Oreochromis niloticus: one gene and its partner. The protein of the gene in region 1 purifies or fractionates together with the protein of each later gene. This does not show direct contact. Links are inferred from orthologs where the notes say so. Each region holds a gene or a part of one and is shown on either strand. Other genes may lie near its edges.

The links. Proteins that work in one complex are often made in the same cells at the same time.
Region 2: the proteins of wdr19 (region 1) and ift122 purify together in Homo sapiens (affinity purification with mass spectrometry; 4 studies listed by BioGRID and IntAct, counting the BioPlex papers as one, with this or other methods). This does not show direct contact. The link is inferred for Oreochromis niloticus from reciprocal best matches to the Homo sapiens genes WDR19 and IFT122.

Annotation. Positions count from the first base shown.
Region 1 is NC_031971.2:22,157,660-22,165,808, reverse strand, and holds the start of wdr19 (WD repeat-containing protein 19), read left to right. Parts: upstream 1-4,795; 5' UTR 4,796-4,941; coding exon 4,942-4,947; intron 4,948-5,044; exon of another isoform or gene 5,045-5,116; intron 5,117-5,599; exon of another isoform or gene 5,600-5,710; intron 5,711-6,156; coding exon 6,157-6,248; intron 6,249-6,344; coding exon 6,345-6,410; intron 6,411-6,525; coding exon 6,526-6,651; intron 6,652-6,850; coding exon 6,851-6,966; intron 6,967-7,068; coding exon 7,069-7,184; intron 7,185-7,799; coding exon 7,800-7,880; intron 7,881-8,064; coding exon 8,065-8,149. UniProt on the Homo sapiens protein: As component of the IFT complex A (IFT-A), a complex required for retrograde ciliary transport and entry into cilia of G protein-coupled receptors (GPCRs), it is involved in cilia function and/or assembly.
Region 2 is NC_031984.2:14,357,405-14,365,276, reverse strand, and holds the start of ift122 (intraflagellar transport protein 122 homolog), read right to left. Parts: upstream 3,506-7,872; 5' UTR 3,394-3,505; coding exon 3,350-3,393; intron 164-3,349; coding exon 97-163; intron 1-96. Other genes in the region: mbd4 (methyl-CpG-binding domain protein 4), read left to right, coding at 3,928-4,058, 4,168-4,916, 5,382-5,447, 5,557-5,691, 5,770-5,919, 6,099-6,202, 6,309-6,383; uncharacterized protein LOC102076950, read left to right, coding at 6,988-6,997, 7,102-7,235, 7,337-7,464, 7,570-7,629, 7,726-7,872. UniProt on the Homo sapiens protein: As a component of the IFT complex A (IFT-A), a complex required for retrograde ciliary transport and entry into cilia of G protein-coupled receptors (GPCRs), it is required in ciliogenesis and ciliary protein trafficking.

The DNA.
Region 1 (8,149 bases):
GAAAGCCAAGCGCCCCAGGAGCCGGGGAAGACTGAAAAGCCGCCCAAATTTGCCAGCTTGACATCTAAAAAGCGGAGACGCGAAGGCTCGCAATTCCCCACAGCCGAGCTGATGTTTATTCAAGCCTAATGCACTGCTGCATTATTCTATTTTCTCCCCCACCCTCGCTTGCTTCTTCAAACCTGCCTGGTGTTTATTTAGAGTAATTCTCTTCAGATCACAGCAGAAGAAGTGTGTCATCTCCACTGTGTCGTGTGATTTCAGCAAGAGGTTAAAAATAACATAAAACACATTCCAAATCTAACTATAACTGTATATTATGTACATAAATAAATATAAAGTCTGTATGTAGTCTTACTGCATTACGGTGTCTATATTATACACTTCCCACTGAATATGCTGTGTGTTATTGTGTTTTGTTTTTTGTAACATGAATTCAGATGATGAAGCGATGTAATAAAAGCGGTCGGTGGGAAACTGCACAGCTGCTCGTCTTTTACAAAATACATTATGTATGTACAATATATGCTGCTGTAGCTATCATTGGTCTTTTATACATTAAAGTCAAGATGTGATTTACCACTTCCCGTGGCTTTTTCCCTGCTCGACAGAGGCGTTTTAACAGCAACAGCTAATCATGTTTATGCTACAGATGTTGCAGCTGGCAGTTTGCGTTTGTCACATTCACAGTAAATGCCACTGTGGTGTAAATTTGGCTCTTATCTCTAACAGCACCCCCATCGGTGCGACTCCAGCCAAGGCCCTTTGCAGTTCAAAGGTTTCTGTGCAGGTTTTTGGCTGCTGAAGTGCAATTCCGAATTTATTTTCATGTGCCTGGAGGTTAATATGGATCCTCATTAGTCTTAAGTGCAGCTCCTCAAATGTAAAAGCTAAACACCGAACCAGAGACGCCACAGCTGTTCGAGGCAGAGTGGAACAAGTGTGCCGGGAGGAGGAATGCAGGCAGTTTATAGATATTTTAGCCTCAGGACAGTGACCAGTAGCCAAGTGATTCACTCTGATATTTATTGCAGAGGAAGCTTTAAATCATAAGTGCTTCTGACAAACGACTCCCGGTGGCGTTCAGAGATGATGCTGGTGACCTTGTCTTGCCGCCTTAACCGCACCTGAGTCTATTCCCCCTGACAGCAGTAAGAGGGAGACACAAAGTGGTCTGCTTCATTCTGCATCCTACACTTGGAAATAACCTGTAAACACCTGCATCTGTCAACATCTGCATCAACGCAGCAGCAGAATAAAGCAGACATGCTGTGCAGTCAAGCACTTATGAGGCCCACAAAACTATTTTTAATTCTAGTAAAGACCCTAAAGTTTCTGGAGACTCACTGGCTTGAGTGTGTATAAAATCCTTTATGTGGCGCCCAGTAAAAACACTATACGGCTTCAATAAAGAGCTGGAACAAACAGAAGAAAATGACAGATACTGTGAATTAAGAACAAATTTTCAACCTCATTTCCTCGTCATTTTGGGGAAAACAAATGGGAAAAGGTGCGTTCATTACTGATGGTGTCATCACGGTGCTGGCACTCGTGCAATCCCTCATCCACAAACGCTGTCATCACTTTGCGGCAAACTCGACGTGTAAATTTTTACACGCGTTTGTTTTGCCTGCGTTTTAATCACAGCTTTGAGAAAGAAAGTATATGAGTGCAGTTTGTCGTGTTAACACTATCAGAATATTCATTTGCAGACTGAAAATTCATCATAGATGTTTACAAGTCAATGTCACTGTGACAGTTTTGTCACAGTTGTCGCGTTTGGAGCTTTTAAAACACCACAGGTTGAAATTTGACTGTTTTCATATCCGTGATCACTGGGGCGAGAAAAATCATCAGCTGAAGATTATGAGATGCACTAAAATGAAAAGCTCCTGAGGAGAATCTCAGTGGTTACTGACGCGGATCTGTCTACTGCCAATACTGCCTCCTAGTATCCAACACACACAGGGCGACTCCATCTTGCATGTGTTGTGTTTGGATTGCTCTGTATTCTGGTTGTGTGGTCTTGATAAGGGCTCACTGTATAGTCTAGGACTGATTCTCAGTTTCAAGATTGTGTGTAGCATGATTGGATGTAGTGCCGTAATAATGCCTTTTATCTTTTATCAGTATTAATAAATGCATATTACAGCAAACAAGAAAAGAATGTTGCTCCTTCTGCAAAATAGGATTGTCCTGCAGGGGCAGCCCGAGGTTCAGTACCAATTAACCTGCCAAAAACAGAATATTTAAGGAACTGCTCTCCTGCAAGGCTCCTGTGCTCTGCTAGACACTGAATGCCTAGAAAGTGTGGAGAAAAAAAAACCCCACAGGACTGACAAAAACCTCCAGGATCAGATTTTTTTTAAATGAGAGAAAAAAAACCCTGAAAAAGAACATAAAGATATTTCAAAGTATCTTTTCAGGACAACTTGTAACACCTACATAAAACTTGCATGATTCCTGGAGGGCAGAAACATATTCATTTGGGATTTTGTGAGAGAATAAGGAGGAAGGAGCAGAAAAAAATACTATGAGAATCTCATTTCGTCTGCAGCTGCAACGATGGAAAGCTGAAATAGTTCACATAATAAAGGAAATAAAGGAAGTCATTTTCAGTGATTATCTGTCAGCTTTCACTATGTCATATAGACCTGCTTTCTTTATATTTTGTAAAGTGCAGCAGTTCCTTTTTTCTTTCTATTAATGCACCACATCCTGCAAAAAAGCTCTGCTCGCATTGTCTCGTTGGCCAAAACGCTTTTCATTCATTTTTCATCAGTTCTTTTTTTCATCTCTCTCTGCTCTAATTTTACCATTTTGCTTGAAAATCATACAGCTGCTCCCTTCAGTGCATCTTAATGAGATCTGAGTCAGCAGGGTGTATTCTGCTTCGGCATGCCAGAGCACAGAGAGGAATATTTGTGTCACACAGCTGGCATTTCATCCCAGCTCCCTGCCTGGGTTGTACGCGGATCATCCTTCCATCAGCACATGACAACGTACAGAAGGTCATCAGCGTTTTCTCTCGGACTATGGACAAAATTAAATAACACAAGGGAGGCAGAGGTTTCTCCTAACTTATTTCGGATGGGTCATTCTGTAAAGCACTGAAATTGGTTTACTTCCTAAAAAGGACATCAGTGAACACCCAGAGGACAGCAGAAATGAAATGGGACAAAGATATGTAGATTGGCATGCCTGGAGAATAGAAAGACTAATGCTCTTTAAAGAAAAACTATGAAAAGCTGCCACCTGCTGGATCTGTGGTGAAAGCACGGTTTCAGTTAACTTCAGATGTGCTTGATACTCCTCACAATAATGCTGCTTGGAAAAGGTGAAAACTGGCCGGTGGTATTAGTTTGTGGCGGTACTGACATTTTCTTTTTAAAGCTACAAGTCTGTATTAAACAGTTATGCTGTGAATATCCTCACCTAAGACTCAGCACTGTTTACTGTTTGGTTAATCCAGCTATGAAGACGTTTTTACTCTAGAGATCCAAGTCAGTGCAGTTATGATGACTGCAGCAAGTTTGTGTTTACAAGCACAGAAGTGCAAATTTTGCTTAACCTGCTTTTTAGATCTGAGAGTTTAATTTGTATTCGATGTTTTGTGATGTTTTGAAGAAACTGTGTGTTGCATAAAGGGATGGAATGCCTTGGTGTTCCCCCATTTAAGCTGGAGGAGGTGGTTGGGGAGAGGGAGGTCTGGGTTTCTCTGCTTAGGCTGCTGCTCCTACTGATGCCCCCTACCTCCCGGATAAACAGAAGAAGATGGATGGATGAATGGATAATAACAATTTTTCATGCCATTTATTGCAGTTGATTGGAAACTCCTGTCAGAACTGAAATTAATTCTTTTCTCTCTCATGCTATATGCAATGCTCACTTTCTGGCCTGTTTTTTAAATAATTTATTAATTTCATTCCCAGAGCAAATGAAATACAGAGAGACTTTATGTTGGGTGATTTAGCTTTGTCCATTGGTTCGACAAACTTTGAAATCAATTTGAATCTGGACAATGATTCTTGATTGTGAAGGAGATCCTTCACAAGAGATAAAGTGGAACATTTAACTTCTGTAATTTTCATTGCACTTTTAACTGTAACACCCACTCACTTGTCGAGCCCGGATTAACTCACGCTGATTTTATTGTTTGGACTTCATCATTACAAGATCACATGGGCAGGTAAGAAAGCAAGAACAGTCCTCATCTTATTTTTACATGTAATATAAGCAGACAATTATATAGTGGAACATCCATGATGCATATCAATATACAATTGTCATGCCCCTAAAAGTACAGCATATTTACGCTACTTAAATATGCTACGTCCAGATGAACAGAATCAACTTTTGGAGATTTACTTACCTTGATGATTGAGCATGCATCAAGACGTACAGCGTATTTACATTGTGAACAGGAAAACCTTCACAAATAATCCTCTATTTAAAATAACTTATAGAATAATTTGTGTCTCCTTTCATGTAAAAATGCCTGAACACCTTACACACTACTTAAAATGACGTACTCACTATTATACATTTCTTAAAATATAATTATTTGTCTTTTCCTGTAAAGCCTTAAATTATTCCCTCTTATTTTAGTGCATCTACACCGTTTGTTGCATGCTATAATATAAAGGGCAACCAGTACATATCTGTTCTGAGATAATGCCCAGAGCATTATCTCACTGTTAAATATGAGACCTCCTCTTTATTTTTTACATCTTCTTGTTACAGTGTTTGTTTGAAACCTGTTGATCGCTCTAATCTGTACAGAACCTCATTGGCTGCTGACTGTTGCCATGACAGCGCCAACCCGCAGACGCTTCAGAGTGAAGGATTGTGGGTAATAGATACACATATCTGTAAGTCTGAGATCCTTTGAGAAGTGAATACCTGTCCTTTCCAATATTTAAGCGATTAAACACCATCGCGATGAAGGTTTGTACCAATAAATTAATTTTATTTTCATTCACTCATTCCATTCGTTCCACACGCATGCGCTTCAGTTAGCTGGATGCTAACTGCGTTTATTCACCTCCTAGAAACCAACCGTTAGCCAAGTGTTAGCTGAAGACAGACTGAACGTCGACCAAAGTCCGCTAAAAATGTGTGTTGCGTTGTGTATTATCCAACAATCGAAAAAACAGGCTGTTTGGCAAACATAGTCACAGTAATGATAACTAAAAGCTCTATACTCACAGCTAAAATAATACCCATAGCACCTTTCTCCTGTTTGTCACCCGTCTGTTTAAACAGCGTTTTTTGTGCGTTTTTGTTAAAATATTTTAGGTTGCTGATCTAATCTTCGTAATGATAATGCAGACATGAGTTTAGGCAAAGTTAAAATAAGTTAGTTGTCACTTTTCTGTTTTATAAGTAACTTCTGCAGGTGTATTTTGTTGCATCCAGTGCATGGGTATGTTGTACACCTGGCTATCTGACACGTTTGGATATAGTTTGATTAAGGAGCTTTCTAGATGATGCTTTAATATGTATTTAGAAGCAAATAAGATGAAACTGTACGTTGAAGTGGCACTCCATCAATTTAGTACTGTATGTCTCTAAGGTTGGGGCGCTAACATGAAAAAATAAATTAATTGAATTGCTAAAACTTATGCCAGAGAAACACTTTGAACCTCTCCAAATGTTCATCCTCCCCATACGTAAGTGTCTTTCAAGACTGTGGTGTGTGGATAAATAGGTGAGAAATGTGAAGTGATACTAATCAATAAAACAGATTTATGTAGGGAAACAATCAGTTACCCTCCTGTGAATCGTTGGTTTTTGATATGCCTACATTTCTGACAGACCATCAGAAAACAATATTTTCTTACTGTACACCTTAGACGTGCAGTAATTTATAGAAAGACCTAAACTTAAACATGGCTATATCTATTGGTGAATTTAAAAGCATCATAAGGAATTAAATGTAATAGACCTGTGTGTGTTTTTCCCGAGAGGCCACTAATGGTTGTATATTGTGTATTATGTTGCAGATTTTGTACTTATATTTGTAGAAATCTTTGAGATGTTCTGAGTTTGTGCAGTTATGGAGTTTGGTGTAATGGGATGCCCAGGTTGTAATGCAAATGCAAATTGGTAGAGTGGGAAAAAAACTAACCAATAAGGACATCTTTAAATCCACAGAGTGTTTTTGTGCTCGCTGAAAAAGCCTGGGCGGGATCTAACTTGCTGTACAAGTGGCAGAAAAGCCTTGGTAATTATATCGCTGTTGCAGGGTGAGTATGTCATTTTGGTTAACAAAATAGCTCTGAGAAGGCTGTGTAACAGTCTACTAATTGTCTGTTGACTGAGCTTTATTTTCAATCACACAGACAGGACAACACAGTCAAAATATTTGATCGACATGGACACAAGTGGACTGAAATCAACCTTCCAGGGTAATTGTGATAAAATCACTCAGATTCCAGTTTTGTGTCATCTAACAGTTTTGGCTGATTACCACTGAATGTTCAGGTTTTCTTAATAACTTCCTTTCTCCTCTTTCTCTGTAAGGCGCTGTGTGGGGATGGACTGGGATAAGGATGGGGACATTCTGGCAGTGATAGCTGCAAAATCCAGCTCCATCTTCCTCTGGGATGCCAGTGTCAGTAAAACATCCCAGATAGACAGCGGTATGAGGTACGACCATTTCAGAGGGAGAAAATTTAACCCAATCATTCTACTACAGTTAATTGTACTGGCTGAATAAGTGATGCAAGTGTTAGTCATTGAATAATTTCACTGCAAATATGTTTTTTTCCCTGTTTCAACAGAACACTAACTTTGAAATAAGTAAAGCTAAACGTTTTGTGTTCTCATTGTTGATGGTTTCAAACAGAGATCAGATGTCTTTCATCTTGTGGTCAAAGACTAGCCCGCTGTTGGCAGTCGGAACAGTCAAAGGAAACCTGTTGATCTACAATCAGCAGACCTCACGCAAGATCCCTGTGCTGGGTAACACACAACAAAACTGTATATATAATCTTGGATGGTTTAATGGTCTTTAGTCTGTTCTGTAATATTGATTCTCTGTCTCCTTCTCTCCACACTTGATAGGCAAACATAGCAAGAAGATTACCTGTGGCTGTTGGAGCTCCCAGAATCTGCTGGCCCTGGGGAGTGACGACAACACGCTGAGTATCAGCAATCATGAGGGAGACACCATCAGACAGGTAGTCAAATACAGTAGTGTGCAAAAATCTTGAACCAGCCCTCATGTCTTATAATTTTTTTTAAAGTTCTTTAACAATAGTTTTCCAGTTTTTCTGAAGGTCTTTCAGAGTTTTTCTTTAGACATTTGCTGCTTTTTCACTCATTTTCACTTCAGTCTGTGCTTTGTTTGTTAAGCCATGTTATCAAGGGATCATTTAAGCATAAAGAAGGCTAACTCAAAGTGTGAACCAGTGTTGATTCTTTACATAACAGACAGCTTAGCAAGCAGGCAATTTTAAGTTGTATCTTTAGGCATTTTGTTACTATAACCCTGTCACAAAAACACATAATTTCTTTGGTTGAATCTGTGAAAAATGCCAAACATAACACAGTGTGACAGGCGTAATGTAATAGTACATAATGCACAATAATACATAATAGTATTTTTGCACCAACAAGGTGATTCCCAAAGAACTATTAGCAGACCTGTTTGTTAAAGCCATATCAGAAATGGATTCAGTGGAAGGGTGGATGTTAAGTAGCTATTCAGGAAACGCCAAATTAAATCTGAACTGGACTAAAAATCTGTCACAGCATTCCTTATGGACCGAGTGTACTTTCTGATCTTTCGCCAGACGACGGTTCGCGGTGAGCCTGCTGAAATTTACTTCTCGGTGATGAAGACGGATGAAAGGTCAGCTCAAGGAGAGAGCACAGTGAGTCTGTTTTCTGCTAGTTTCAAATTGAACCTGTGCTGGAGATGAATTTTAAGGTCTGTTTGAACATGACTGATCTGGGATTTGCAGAAAATTTCAAATAAATTGTTCGTATGAAGGTGATCAAAGGTTTAGGATGTCTGAAATGTGTCATGGAAAAAGTGCACATTATTCTACCCTTCAGGTGAGTGTTTCTGTGGACAAGAAGATACTGATGCTTTTCAACATCAACGACCCTGGAAACCCAATAGAGCTAGCCTTCGAGCGCC
Region 2 (7,872 bases), on another chromosome or scaffold:
GGAACAAAAAAAAAAATGAGGTGAAATTGAGGTGAACGATGAAAGTATTCTCTACATGTTTGCATTTTTAGGCTAAAGAAAAGAGAAAAGCCTCACCAGGACACGAAGCCCTGCAGCAATTATGAGTTGGCTACCATCTGGTTTGAAGGCGAGGTCATAAACGCTGCAGAAAAAAACCCAAAAGAACAGATCCGTGTTCAAATGGTTTTTCAATAAATTGATTAGTTCACGAGCAACAGCTATGAGGATCCATTCATCACTGAAATCATATAATGGAGGTTCCCTGTGGAGTTTTTGACCTCTAGCAGTGCCATGGAGGTGGATTTTACAAGTACGTTATTGCTGTGTGCCAAAATGCACACAGGGAAGGTTTTGCAACCCTGCAACTCTGTTGAAGGTTTTGGAGGAATTCACAAACTTATGAGTGAAGATAAAGCCAAAACATGTCACTGCAACACTGTGAATTAGTAAATATGTTGTTAGGAAATATGAAAGAAATATTAGAAATATAGACGTTAAGAATCCTGGTGAAAAAAAACCAAGAATAAATAAAAACACTAAAAAAATCAGGTTCCTATGAAGAGGGAAAACATTCAACAGTTCTGCTAGGTTGCAAGGATGCACACAATCTGTTTCGGTGTGAAAACACTCACTGTGAAGCATGGAGAATAATGGCTTCCAGTTTCATAAGTGTGAGAATTTGCAAGTGTCCAATGTTTCTTTAATACTTTCTTTCAGCTGCAACCTTATTTCCCAAGTGGTCACCACAGCGGATGGATCTGCATATTTGATTTGGCACAGATTTTATGCTGGATGCCCTTCCTGATGCAACCTTCCCTCCCTGATCTGGGGTTTGCGACTGGAATTAGGAGTGAACTAGCTTGGGAGCTCCAGTGTCTTCTCTCAGTATTGAACTAGGGAATTTCTTTAATATAGCACACTGACTTTTTCTTTTTTTTCTTTTGCATACACCGAATAAACCAAAAAAAAAAACAACCCATAAAATTCAGAGTTTGAAGAAACAGAGGACATCTTTAGCAAGGACAAACAAGTGCAAACAAATCAAACCAAATGTTCTGAAATTAACAAATTCAGGGCTTTTCCCCTAAATGAGATTTGGCATTCCTCCAACTATTTCTTTAAGTGGGGAAACATTAGCTGAGCATAAGTTACATTTTTCTAATTTATGCAACTTAGGCAGAAACAGGAAAATACTTACATTTCTGTTGATTCTGTTACATAAGGTAGCTCAGACACTTTGCATTAACTATATATTACTCAGTTGTGCTTTGTGGATAATTATCCCCTGAAAACACCTTTTTTAATCAAATTTTAGGCTTTTATGTGTGAAAATGGGTTAACAACAGTAAGTAACAAAACTTAAAAACAGTAAGTGGGAGCTGCTCAAAATCACACACGCACACACAAAACATCCAAAAAATGTTTACACCTAACAACAAGGAAAATCACGCGTCTCCATCCACTCCACCCTGCATGTGCTCTCTCCTACACCTCTTTTGTGCACTGTCTGTTGTTTTGGATGGTTCACCCCAGATATTTAAATTGGTCCACCTTAACTACTTCTGCTTCTTGAAAACTTGTTACACCTGTCTCCCTCTCATTCACACACATGTGTTCTGTCTTTCTTATACTTCTTTCCAGTCCGTGCCTCCACCTTTCAAAGCTCTCTTCCAACTGCTCCCCACTCTCACTATTTATCACAATGTTGTCTTGTCAACAAGGGGCTCAAAGACAATCCCTGATGTAATCCCACCCTCACCTCGAACCAATCTGTACCACACAACTCGCCACTGTCACACTGTCCTCATACATGTCCTGCATTGCACCACCTTCACATACTTCTCTGCAACTCCTGGCTTCCTCATGCAGTACCACAGTTCCCCTCCTGGCAGCCTATCATATGCTTTCTTCAGATCCACAAAGACACAGCTCACGTCTTTCTGACATTCCCTATACGTCTCCAATCAACACTTTCAAAGTAAAAATCCCATCTGTAGTGCTCTTTCGTGGCATGAAGCCATACTGCTGCTCACTGATCATTACCTCACTCTTTAAGCTACCTTCAACAACACTTTTTCCCATAGCTATGGTATGGCTTATGAGTTTTATCCCTCTGTAGTTACTGTACACTTGTTCTTAAAAATCAGTACCACCTCTCCATTCTTCAGGCATCCTCTCACTCTCAAAGACTGTGTTAAACCATCTGGTAAAAACGTTCACTCTTTTACTTGACTATATCCGGATCAATTGTGCTTACGTGCATGGAGTTTTGAGCCAGGAAATTAAAACCTCTATAGATAAAATGAATAAAAATCCCTAGTGGGTCCACTGGGGGTAGGGACACCAGCAGATGTCACAAACTTTAGATGGACTGGACTACGTCTTTGTCTAATGTCAGAGTAAAAAATGTGAGTGATCTGTGGCTCAAAATTAATTGAATCACACCACCAAAAAAGTTAACTTCCATTTATGCATATAAGAAGTTGGAAATATCTAATTAAAAACTACAGCATGTTTTTATTAGAAAACAAATAAAGTTGTTAAAATGTTACAAGTGACTTCTCAGCATTATTAACGTATCCCACATTGTCTCACTCAAACAAAGCAGGACTTGTATACTTAGTATGATAACTGCAGTTATCATGCTAAGTATACAAGTCCTGCTTTTGCCTTTTTGGGGAGTCATATTTTTCCTATTCAGATACAACCATCTATCCAAGATGACTCCTGCAACATATCAAGTATTGTGATTTGATCTGATCACAATATAAACATTTTAGTGGGCATTGTATCATTAGAGTATTATGAGTTACTCTGTGACTTCCATTCTCCCTCTGAAACAGCACAAAAACATCTCTCCAAACACCTACTCGGTTTTTGTTTTTTCGGGAAGTCTGATCATTTAAATGCTAGACTAAACAGGACTACCTTAATTCCTGACAAGAATGTAATGGGAAATAATGGCAAACAAGTTAATACCTTATTTAAAAAGCCTCTTCAATAAAAAGATGTTATTAGGAGCACGCAATTCTGCACAACAAACAAAATAAACCGTAATGAGAACTAGAGATCCTACGTCTATGATTATATCGGTTACCAAAGAACCATCATAAGCTACTGTACTTATGGAAAATACATAATGCACGACATCTAATATGAGAGCGATATAAAAGATCACACATTGATGATAATGGAATCGCTGCGATGCTAAAGCTAGTTAGCGGGCTAACACTAGTTTACATAGCAACCACCGTTGCTAACCACCTAGCGTTACATCTGAGCATCGGGACGAGGCTGACAGCGCAAACCTAATCACTCAGATTCCTACCATTGCTCACGGATCGTTTCCTTCCATGCTAGGACAGCTCTCATTTCCGCTCTTTAACAGAAAAAAAGCACCAAAGGTTCTTTTGTCAACAGGTTGCTGCAGTTCGCTTGGTTCTGTTTTTTCACCCTGTACCGTTTCTTGTAGCGAGTAGCTCGCACTGCGCAGACTCGCACTTGCTCGCTACTTCCTGCTTCTGTGTTGACATCAGAAAGAACTCGGTAAAGCCACGTCGAGACAAGAAGATGCACATCTAAAGCCTGATCAGTATTCATGTATGCTGCACACGCCTTTGTTAACGTTTTAGCTCTTTGCTTTTGATCTGCTGCCCAGTAATATCCAGCAATCCTTTTTTTTAATGTGGCTTTATGTGAGCAAACTGTAGAATGAGCAAACGCCTTGTATGTGTTGTTTTTGTAAATGTCCAAGTAAACTCGCAGGAACAAAACAAGAACTACAGGTTCATAGTTTAACAATAAAGCCAAGGTTTTTTTATTCGTTGTCTTCACTTCAACAGGACTCCAAAGAAACTAAAAATGCATCCTACTAGATAAGATACTGAACTGGAGAGCAGTGTGGACATGAATCATCAAAGTCTCAAAGAAGGGGAGATTTTGTGCCCTTCTTCCGCATTGCCCCCTGGCTGGATCAGAGAAGTGAGGCAGCGGAAAGCAGGCAAGACAGCAGGCAAACTAGATGTCTACTTTACAAGGTGACTCAGTTTTGGTCTTTTTTACAATCTTGTCTCTGTAAGATGTTACCTGTAAGTGCACCACAGAAGCCCTTAGATCAGCATCTAATTGATTTTCCTGTTGTTTAAGTCCCGAAGGGCAAAGGTTCCGGTCCAGAGCATCCCTACGCACTTTCCTCCTGGAAAGTGGAAGTGGTAACTTAGACATAAGCCTCTTTGATTTCACCACATCCAAAGATGATGTTGTCACCCCTTCACAAGCACCCCCTCCCAAAGTAAAGCAGAGGAGAGGAAAGAAAAAGCCTTTAGAGGGACAGCAGGAGGAAACAGAAAATGAAACAGCAATTCTAGAGGCACCTCCAAATAAATCCAAACAAGCCTCTTCCTCCCTCAGAAGTGATACTAAAAGCGGAAAAGTGAGGACGGCAGACGACACAAATCATATTGATGCTGACACTAAACTACAGAAGACTGCATGTGTATTAGAAGTGAATGTGAATGGAGACAAAACTACTGAAACTTTAAATGGTTGTTTACAAGCTTTGACCGCAGAAAAAGTGGACAATGTACAACTGCAAAAGAGCCCCCAAAGAGGAGGCCAACTGAGAGAGAAGTTACTCAGACTGGCTCCTTTAAGTAATCAACCAAACACGTCTATTCTTCAAGAGGACAAGAAAGCAGATTTGAAGCCTTCGGCCCCGATTTTGAATGTTGAACCTGCCGCTGAGAGCGAGAAAAAAGGTGATGAAAGCAAAGGTGACAACACTCCTAATTCTGACCTGGAGACTGGCGATGACAGTCGTCAAGATGCTGAAGAACATGCGTTGTTACCTGATACCACTGATGGGAGCTGTACACCAGTTCGAGAATCCCAGAATAGTAAGAATGAGCCACACTGACTGACAATTTGTAAAAGTTTTTCATGTTTTTTTAGCTGTTTAATTTGAGCTTATCCAGTGCATTAGTGGTTATTTATGTCTTCCATTATCCTCTATATTTGCAGCTAGAAATACATAAAAATCAAAGAAACCAAATGCCTTAATTGACACAAAATGTTCCAAATAGAAAAAAAAATGCATACATTTAGATCTGATAAAGAGGGGGCGAAGAATAATAGTCCATTGTTAGAGAGTGCATCACATCATTAGTCTAAGGGAGGACAGAATTGATTGAGTAATCTTACTGCATTAATGAAGCCATCATAGGACTCCACCACTTTGTGCTCAGCGAATATATGATTTTCTCTGTTGTGTCATTTTATGAGGTACTTAACTTTGAACCCAACCAAAAGATGTAAAGCAGCTTCACTCTTCTAATATCCATAAATGTTTCCTGTCTGCTTAGAGTCCAAAAGCTTGGAAGGCAAGCGGAAAACAAGTCCTTATTTCAGTGGGAAATCCAGCAGAGATGGTAATGTTTAATGCAGGAAACTGGATGCTTTTACGTCGGACATGTATATCAACATTCATGAAATAAATAAAGTGTGTAATTTAAAGAAATGTGCACTGTCCACACTCAGGACTTAGCCCACCGAGGAGGAAGGCCTTCAAGAAGTGGACACCTCCCCGGTCTCCCTTCAACCTCGTACAGGAAACTCTTTTCCATGATCCCTGGAAGCTGCTGGTAGCCACAGTTTTTCTGAACAAAACCAGTGGTAGGATTCAACACACACATTTAATTATTCAGGATGTTGCATTAAGCTTTGCTGAACCCTGGCATTTCTTTAATACAGGTAAAATGGCCATTCCAGTCCTGTGGCAGTTCTTTGAGCGTTATCCATCTGCAGAGGTGACCCGACAGGCCGACTGGAAGCCCATGTCTGAACTTATGAAGCCACTTGGCCTGTATGAGCTTAGAGCCAAAACACTCATCCGCTTCTCAGGTGGATATTCTTGCCTGTTAGTGGATTACAGCAGCAACTACCTTTGTGCACATGCAATGTCCATTTATTTATATATATTATTGTAATTTTATTGTTCATTTTTGGTAGTCTTTGCATGGTTTTAGTAACAATATATGAAACAGAAAAAAAATCCTCACAATCCCTTTTCTCTGGTGTAGATGAGTATCTAACTAAACAGTGGCGTTACCCTATTGAGTTGCACGGTATTGGAAAGTACGGCAACGACTCGTACAGGATCTTCTGTATCAATGAGTGGAGACAGGTGGGTATAATCCCAACTATTTTACTTCAGTTGCTTCCATTGCTTCCTCATTTGTTTGCTCTAAATTCAAGTTTAATTTTTTCTTTTTTCGATTCTTGTGTCAAAGGTAAAACCTGATGATCATAAGCTAAACAAGTACCATGCTTGGCTGTGGGAGAACCATGAGAAACTGGGAATCTGAAGGACCAGAAACAAGAAAATCACTTCTATCACACAAACTGCAGTTACCCAACAATATAACAATATTAGCATTATGGAGGACTTGAAATTTTAATCCTGAATTTCTTCAATATTATGCAGTATTACGCTGGCTAACCTTTAAGAACTTTTATTATGTGTTGAATAAAATGTTTTAAGCTGGTTAAAAGTTGAAATGATCCACGAGTGGTTTATTCAGCCTTCTTGCCTCAGGCTTTCTACATAGATGAGATCCAGGGACACCCCCTAAATATAGCTATTGGCACAATCTAATCTTTCTTTATGAGTGCATTGATGCGTACCACTCCATTCAGTAGCTTTCTTTTGACAGGGTGTAACTTGATTCCCAAGGCAACTGTTGCCACCGCAAGATACTCAACACATACATCGGTACGTCAGTATAATCTCTAGGCAGCACCACATAGCAATCCGGTATATTTAAATTTGGATTTATTTTTTTTTATGTGTTGTTGCATGTTGATTTAATGCTAAGGCAACTACACCTTTAAGAGGAAAAGTAGAGCTCTGGAAGCTTTGAAAGTTTCATTGGACTCCTCTGGTGTGCGAATAGAAGTGTGAAGTATAAGATGAAACTACGTAAGGAGAGATTTTGTTTTCCATTTGTTGTCCTTTTTTTTAAGCATTACTGGTTTTATTTAAAAGTTTCTCCTTTAATTCTGTTCACTTCTTTATCCTCACAGCAGCCATCTCCATAGCTTCCACACCAGTCTGTATTCCTCGCGCACCTCCTGTCCGGCAAGGTCGCTGCCTGTTGGATACAACCGTGAAATTTCCCGTAATTTCAGACTCCGCACAGTTTTGGAAAAGCAATCAGGTATGCAGAGATTTCTTAATTGTGTGGTTTATCATAGAAATATATTGTTTTAAAAAAAACAACAAGAAAAAAACAAACTGATCCATAAATATCCTCCTTAGAGTATTCCCAGATTGAACCCTTTACACCCACCATTTGTCCATAAACGCACCGTCAGTCTGGAGACACCAGATGTTCACCAACACAACCACCAGAGGACACTGATCATGCAGAGAAGAGAGCATTACAGGTAGGTGCACTAAATAATTTCACTATCACTGAATCACTTGTTCCATTTCCATCTTTTCTTTGAAGAGCTGACTTCAAAGACAATGACTGAAAGCTGCTGTGTCAGATATCATCAGGTATGGCGAAAACCCTTCTATGGAACCAGCAATGAGAGAGAAGAGTACAGGTAAAATAGTGGAGGATAGCATTGACCTTTTTATATTGAAAAACAACAGCAAGAGTTGTTTCTGGCAAAGAAAAGCTGCTCTTTTTATCTCCATAGGAAGGAGTTGCGAGAGCAGCTGAAGAGACAAATAGAGGAGAAATGTGCAGCAATAAAGCTGCAGCTGGCCAATAAAATAAAGGAAGCAGAGACTCTCCGAGAAGCAGACCGTCTCGATCTGGCCAGTGAACGAGAGCAAAGGATCCA